2 linked regions of the Mus musculus genome follow. The protein of the gene in region 1 purifies or fractionates together with the protein of each later gene. This does not show direct contact. Links are inferred from orthologs where the notes say so. Each region holds a gene or a part of one and is shown on either strand. Other genes may lie near its edges.

Region 1 (3,744 bases):
CTGAAAAGAAAACTATATACATAGAGGACGTGGTGCCGCCCCATGCTGGCCCAGACCCATGCTGGCCCTGTGCTTGCTGCTTCAGCCTCTGTTCATCTGAGTTCATCGGAGCTTTGCTCAGCTCATTTAGAGGGCCTTGTTCTCCTGGTGTCCTCCTGACCTCTGGCTCTTATATTCTTCTGCAGGGTTCCCTAAATACAGCCCAGATTTCAAGAGCTAAAGCAAGCGCAGTGCTGAGACTAACACTCTCACTCTTTTCAGTGTCTCCTCTGGAAATAAGTGCTAGAGGACTGGTGTGAGGAAAGAAAGGCTCTCAGAAGCAGTGACACGCAGGCCAGAGATCAGTCAGTAGTCTTGACTGAGGTGAGAACACCTCAGGCAGAAGAAAGGAAATGATCAATGGACTCCGCGTGAGCTCACAGAGAGCCATAGACATTGTCAGGCCCTGCAGGCACTGGAGTGTAATCTAAGAAGCAGAACTGAAGTTGCTGAGGGCCAACAAGATGCGGCTTATGCTCCAAATGCCCTATGTTCATGTGTGAGAAGGGTTACAGAACAGAAGGAAGAGAACGGTAAAACCATGAGAAGTGATCACGAGAGGTAAGCACCATCATGGGTCAGGCCAGAAGAGTAGGTCAGTAGCTACATTATGCACATCTTTTCAATACATGACCACTGACCAATTGGATGTGGTTGATGGCTTTAGGTTGGCTCTGTGTATAACTGAGGACAAGTGAGTCTTCACAGGCAATCAGGTAGAGAGGGATCACCAGGTATGCGACAAGCTCCAGAAACAGAGCATATGAATGCCACACTTTCAGCACTGAGGCTCTTCTTCAAGGTCCTTCATGTTGCCTGATCTGTACAAAGCATATGCGCAATACACACCAATAAACACCACTTAGAGACAAAGTAACCCATTGTTTTTAGAGAGCAGGAGCCAGTGTTGCTCACTGGTAAGACATCTGTGGAGTAGACTCCTTCCTAAGTGGGGAAGTGGGTCCAGAAGGTCACTCATTCTACGACGATCTGAAACAGGAGGGCAGTAGGGTTGGAGTAGGGGAAGCTCGGGGAAGCTAGGGTCAGAGGGCCCTAACATACCAGGGAAGAGTCTGGACAGGAGAGGGTCATGCCGAGCTCCCTGCTTCTCTGAAAGCTTGAAGATGTGACATATTCTTGGAGGCAATGGTGACAATGCAGCCAGATCTCATCCCTAACATAGGTGAGGAATAGAAAGGAGAGCTCCTTAGAGACAGCCAGAGAACAACCAGGAGCCCAGCACACTATCTGGCTGGCACACATGAAGGCTCTTACTACCAGTGAGCTACCTCTACAGAAACCTGACAGCTAGAAAGCAGACCCCAGGATCCATGCCTCTTCAGGAACACGCCTTTGTTCATTCTTTACTGTCCACCCATCACACCATGTCCTGGGTGCTGTGGAGACTAAGACTTAAACAAGATACTGCTACTCATTGAGAACCTTAGCACAGGGCACATGCTGACACCCACAGAAAGCACACGAAGCCCTGAATGCAGACTAAGTGCAGGCGGGACGGGCAGCCCCAGGCTTCTGGCCTTCCCCACCACTATGCCCAGGAGAACACAACCGTACTAGGGGAACTCAGCAAAGGACAGTGGGATCTAGCTTGCTGCCATCTGACTCAAGGATAAGCCTGGCAACGCACAGGGCCTACCCTCTACCCGCGTTCAATGCACACCTCTTGAGGACGAGTGTGAAGGGCAGACAGCTCCGTGTCGGGGCAATGGGTCAAGGCCCTGCTCTACCAGCTGTGTGACCGCTGGTGACCAACACGTTCCGGACACAACCATCCGACCACCTGCGGCCCTCCGCAACGTACACCGAGCCAGCCAGCCATGCCCTCCCTTCTAGCCGTAGCCCGCCGCTCACCCAGTTGCCGAAGCCGAACTGCTCGATGGCGTCCAGCAGCAGCTGCTCCTCGCGGCTGGTCCAGCCGCCCTCCGCCTCAGGACCCCAGAGTGTGAATCGTCCGCCGTCTACCAGCTGGTAGCCGTGGTAGCGGCGGTGGTGGCCGATCTCCGCGCCGGCCGAGAAGCACTCGGGGCACAGCTCGATGTCCTGGCACTCTGTGCAGCGGAAGCGCAGCGGGCTCACCTCGGCCAAGCAGTACACGCAGTACTTCTTACCCAGCTCCGCCATCTTCCCCCGCTCGCCCGCCGCCCGGCCCGCAGCCGCCGCGCCCCCGGCCGTCAGCGCCCCGCCGCCTGCCGGGCTCGCTGCGCCCGCCGCGCCCGTGCCGCTGCCGGCCGCTGCCACGGCCGCCCCCGCCCAGGCGCCGCCGGAGCCGGCCAGGCGGGCCGCGTCCCGCCTCAGCACGCAGGCGCCCTCCGGCCCGGCCCGGCCGCCGCCGCCGCAGCCGCTGTCTCCCCGCCGCATCGCGCAGGCGCCCCCCGCGCGCCCTCTCGCGGACAGCCGAGTCTTTGCTCTGCGCCTGCGCGCCGGCGCCTCCCGCGGCCTCATGGACTGGAGGAGCCGCGAGGCCCCGCCCTAAGCCTGTCAGCCGGCGGGGCGCGGACCGGAAGTAGGCCGTGCGGGCCACGCCTCTCGGGAACCAGCGTCCAATTAGCGCCTCCCTTCACCTGTTCGCAGATCTTCATTGGCCTAATATTGCCGGGAGGTGGAGAGAAATGGAAGGCGGGTGACCAATCGCGGGGCCCACCGCGCGCCCTGGTTGCCCCGGGAAACCTAACAGCAGGCATCAGCCGGCCTCAGAGCGGGGCCGGCGGGTCGAAAATGGACAGCCACTACGGGGACATCGAGGGCAAAGACCGAGCCGAGGAAGGCCTGGCCAGGCAGTCGCTCGAGATCAAGGTTAGCTCCGAACCTCTGACTCCGGCCAACCCTGTAGAGCAGGAGCCAGAGCCGAAGCCAGAGCCGGAGCCGACGCAAGGGCGGGAGCCTGAGAGCGAGACCCAGCCGGTGTCGGACAGCTCAAAAGCGAAGGATTCGGAGGGGATCGATTACGCGCATGTTGAGGTCCCGGAAAGTCCGGGGGCCGCTGAGACCGCGGGCGAGGCCGTGTCCCGAGAGCCAGAGAGTCTGCCACAGACCCAGCCCAAGACCAAGCCGGAGTCCAAGGAACCAGAGGACAAAGACGAAGACGAGGATGAGGACGAGGATGAGGACGAGGACGAGGACGAGGATGAGGATGAGGATGAGGATGAGGGAGAGGAACGGGACAGGCCAGAGAAGCCGAAGGGCAAGGGGAAGAGGGAGAAGAGGAAGGAGTCACGGTTCCGGCCATCTCTACCGCTGACCACAATTGTTGAGGAGGGGGCTGCCCCAGGCCCACAAGCTGCGAAAGAGAAAGCAAGGGAGTCACTGAAGAAGAGAGACAGTGAAGAGATCGAGGGGACAGATCGAGAACGACACAAAAGCACAGAAGAGCAACTTCACCCTGGAGAGGCCAAGGAAGAGGAGAAACAAAAAGGGGCGTCCACTGAAGAGTTTGAGTGGACAGCGGACATGCAGAAGCTGCAAGAGCAGCAACTGCGCGGCGAGCTGGTGGAACAGTACCACTCCCTGCTAGTGGAGCGGAACCGTTATCAGCGCTACAACATGTACCTACAGCAGAAGATTCACGAGACCCTACGCAAGAAGGGGCTGGAAGCAGCGGCGGAACCTGGGGACAAGAGCGCTGAACCCGAATCTCCCGAGAAAGAGCAAGCATACTTGCGCTATCTGGCCATGCTGGAGGAACTG
Region 2 (3,744 bases), on another chromosome or scaffold:
TGTTGCCAAGCATGTCAGTGGGGAAGAGGTAACAGGAGATCATAGGGAGGAGAGAGGTGGACGGAGAGCAGCACACCTGTGTGGCCTCTCGGAGACGGTAGCACACATCTTCAGCGAGCAGAGCGGCCACCTCGTCACTCAGCTCTAGACCTGTGCTCTCTGCCATGAGCCGGACCGACTCCCGAGGGATCTCCACAAACCTCCTCTCCTCTCGTTCTGACATGGCCCCGGTGGAACTGCAAGTGGAAAAGAAAGGTTGAAAACCCGCCCAGTATCTGAGATTCCTCCAAGGGTGAGGCAGGCAAGACCATCTCAACCATGCCTGCTCATCTTGCTTTAAAAGCCACAAAGACAGAGCCCAGAGGCTCAGCACAGCACGACCCTAGTCCAAGATGACACTCCCAGGACTCCAGCAAGGGTTCCTCATTCCTTTTTTGTTTTTGTTTTTTTGTTTTGCTTTTCAAGACAGGGTTTCTCTGTGTAGCCCTTGCTGTCCTGGAACTCACTTATGTAGACCAGGCTGGCCTTGAACTCAGAAATCTGCCTGCCTCTGCCTCCCAAGAGCTGGGATTAAAGGCCTGCGCCACCATGCCCGGCTGGGTTCCTCATTCTTTATCTCCAGAACAAGTGGGCAATCTACGTAGCCCACGTAGCCATCCTCCCAGTGATTCCTGTTGCTTTTGTACTAAACAAAGATACTGGCCCATGATGGGCAGGCTATGCCTGTGCCTTTCCAGCATCTGTCTGCAAAACCTTATCTTCTTCTCTTGTGATCTAGACTTCCACCCACGGCCACCTCTATTTCCTTATTTCAGGCCATTCTGTTTCTTGTTTGACACTGTCCCTTCTTTGTTCTCTCCAAATCTCTTTGACTCAGTGACCCATCACCTACTACCTCCTTAGATCCCTGTTTGACTGTCAGGGAGGCCTTCCTGGGTTGTATAACTGTCCTTGTCAACTAGGAAGTGAGTTCAAGGTTACCCTAACAACTTAGACTATCTCAAAATAAAATGTAAAAAAAAAAGGCTGGAGCCCGGCAGTGGTAGCATGTACCTTTAATCCCAGCACTTGGGAGGCAGAGGCAGGTGGATCTCTGAGTTCAAGGCCAGCCTGGTCTACAGGGTGAGTTCCAGGACAGCCTGGGCTACACAGACAAACCCTGTCCTGAAAGAAAGAAAAAGTCTGGAGCTGCAGCTCAGCACCAGAGTTTTCCTAACACATGTGACACCTTAGCTTCGAACAGTCTGTAAGTACCCAACACAGCTCGTTACCATCAACTCCACTCTGTACAGGGATGCTGGGCATCAGCATGCAGCTCCCCAGTAACTGTAAGTTGCACAATAGACCAGGTCAGTACGCTCACCTTTGCATCCCAGGCCTCCAGCAGGGTCAGCACATACTATACCCTCATTAACACTTGCTGAAAAAAAAAAGGATAGCTGTTCCAGACAATGTTGTCTATTCAGTCCTAGAACTCACTCTCTAGACCCTGCTGACCTCCAATTCACAGAGATCTTTCTGCCTCTGCCCACCAACCCATCCCGGTGCTGTTATTAAGGACATGGGTCAATACTTCTGATTTATTCACTTTTATGTGCATTGGTGTTTTGCCTGCATGTATATGTCTGTGTGAGGGTGCCAGGTCCCTTGGAACTGGAGTTACAGACAGGTGTGACCTGCTATGTGGGTACTGAGAATTGAATCTGGGTCCTCCAAGGAGACTAGCCAACTGCTCAGCCATCTTTCCAGCACAGCTATTTTCTAAACACATAAATGCCCATGGCCCCCCCAGTTAGTAATATTGTATGAGATATATAATTGTACACATTTGTCCATTTCACAAAGCTGAGGAAGTCTTAGCTCAGAGAGATTACCTGAACTGTCCAAGACCAAACACTAAGCACCGGGTGATTAGACTGCTGGGTCTCAAACACTGTTGTAATTCGACTCAAGATAATATATTCATGAGCTGTAGGCTTGTGTTTGAACTAGGCCTGGCTTTGTAGCCCAAAGATTTGAAGTCCCATCACTAGACTCAGCACTGGATGAGTACGCTTCAGTTTCCCCATCTGTAAAATGGAACCATGCAGTGCTGCGCAAGTGGAAAGCTAGAAGGGAGTTTCTCTATTATGTAGCCCTGTCTTGATAGCTCACAAAATTCGGTCTGTGACCAAGGTCTCCCACTCTTTAGTCTCGTCCTGCCCACCCTCAGTTCCAAGTCCTCCTGACCAGGAGGCGTGGGAACCGATCTCCAAGGACTTCTACGTTGTGAATCCTCCCACCCACCTTCCTCCCTCCCAGCTCCAAAGGGTGCAGGGTCGAGTGGGGAGATCAGGGATTACAGAACTTGTGTCACGTGCTCGGTGAAGGGGGCGGGGTCCTGCGGGCTCCGTGGCTGGTGAGCAGAGCACCGCGGGAAGCGATCCCTGGATCGGGGCAGGACCTGCTCACCTGCAGACTCCGGGGTTGGGAGGGCGCCTGCTGGGGAGGGACGGCTGCTTCCACTCACCGGCTCACGGTAATTCCCTCTCTCCGCGCCCAGGCTCCGCCCTCCATATGCGGAGCCAATCGGTGGCCGTCTACTGAGTTTTCCGCCCACCAAAGAGGCATACCACCTCAAGATTGGCCAGTGTGTATGTGCGGGTAAAGCCACTAGGGCGACGTTGGTCACGTGAGTGGCGCTTCTTAAAGCAACAGCTCCTTTGGGTTAGCTAACAGGTGTGTGTTCCCTGGCTTACACTGAATTAGAGTTCACCGCATAAAACAAGCTGGTCTTGAACTAATAGGCCTTCCTTTGCTTCCAGGATGCTGGGATCAAAGGTGTGTGCTACCATACCGCTTTCTAGTTTCTGATCTTAAAAAAAAAATTTGAGCTGGTGAGATGGCTCAGTGGGCAAGAGCACCCCACTGCTCTTCTGAAGGTCAAGAGTTCAAATCCCAGCAACCAAATGGCGGCTCATAACCATCCGTAATGAGATCTGACTCTCTCTTCTGGAATGTCTGAGGACAGCTACAGTGTACTTATATATAATAAATAAATAAATCTTTTTTAAAAAAAAAGTTTAATTCTGTATGTGTGCTTGTACTTGCAAATAAGAGAACAACTTTTGAGGGCCAGGTAGTGGTGGAGCATGCCTTTAATCCCACAAAAAATACGGGGGGTGGGGGGGGGGAGAGGGCAACTTTGAGGAGTTGATGCTCCTGTAGGCACCAACAGTGGAACTCAGGTTGTTGGGCTTAAGCAACAAGCTCTTTTACTTGTCTTCACCACTTCACCAGTCCTGCATAAAGCTGGATACCGTTCACTTGGTAACATGCTTGTCTAGTACTTGCAGGACATGAACTAGCCAGCACTTGGGGGCTGAAAGTGGGAGGATAAGAAGTTCAGTATTATCCTTGACTAAATATCAAGATTAAGGCTAACCTTGGATATAGGAAACCCTAAGAAAGTAAAATTTATTTACTGTGGTTTAGGTGATCCAACCTACAGCTTTGCATTTGATAGACAAATGTTCTGCCACTGAGCTATATCCTCTATTTATTTTTTATTTTTAAACACACTGGTTGTATAAGGCAAGGTTATCTGGAGTCACAGAACGAATGGGTAGTCTCTATATAGTAAGGGAATTTGTTGATGATGTACACAGTCTGTTGTCCAACTCTCCAACAACGGTCAGCAGGAGCTGTGAATGGAAGTCCAAGAATCTAGCAGTTGCTTAATCCCACGAGGCAAGCAGAAGAAGA

The links. Proteins that work in one complex are often made in the same cells at the same time.
Region 2: the proteins of Tada2b (region 1) and Taf6l purify together in Homo sapiens (affinity purification with mass spectrometry; 3 studies listed by BioGRID and IntAct, counting the BioPlex papers as one, with this or other methods). This does not show direct contact. The link is inferred for Mus musculus from reciprocal best matches to the Homo sapiens genes TADA2B and TAF6L.

What each region holds. Positions count from the first base shown.
Region 1 is NC_000071.6:36,481,877-36,485,620, forward strand, and holds the start of Tada2b (transcriptional adapter 2-beta), read right to left. Parts: upstream 2,410-3,744; 5' UTR 2,182-2,409; coding exon 1,912-2,181; intron 1,214-1,911; exon of another isoform or gene 1,132-1,213; coding exon of another isoform or gene 1,102-1,131; intron 1-1,101. Other genes in the region: Ccdc96 (coiled-coil domain-containing protein 96), read left to right, coding at 2,776-3,744. UniProt on the Homo sapiens protein: Coactivates PAX5-dependent transcription together with either SMARCA4 or GCN5L2.
Region 2 is NC_000085.6:8,783,759-8,787,502, forward strand, and holds the start of Taf6l (TAF6-like RNA polymerase II p300/CBP-associated factor-associated factor 65 kDa subunit 6L), read right to left. Parts: upstream 2,559-3,744; 5' UTR 2,452-2,558; intron 2,070-2,451; exon of another isoform or gene 1,875-2,069; intron 1,421-1,874; 5' UTR 1,372-1,420; coding exon 1,364-1,371; intron 237-1,363; coding exon 77-236; intron 1-76. UniProt on the Homo sapiens protein: Functions as a component of the PCAF complex. The PCAF complex is capable of efficiently acetylating histones in a nucleosomal context. The PCAF complex could be considered as the human version of the yeast SAGA complex.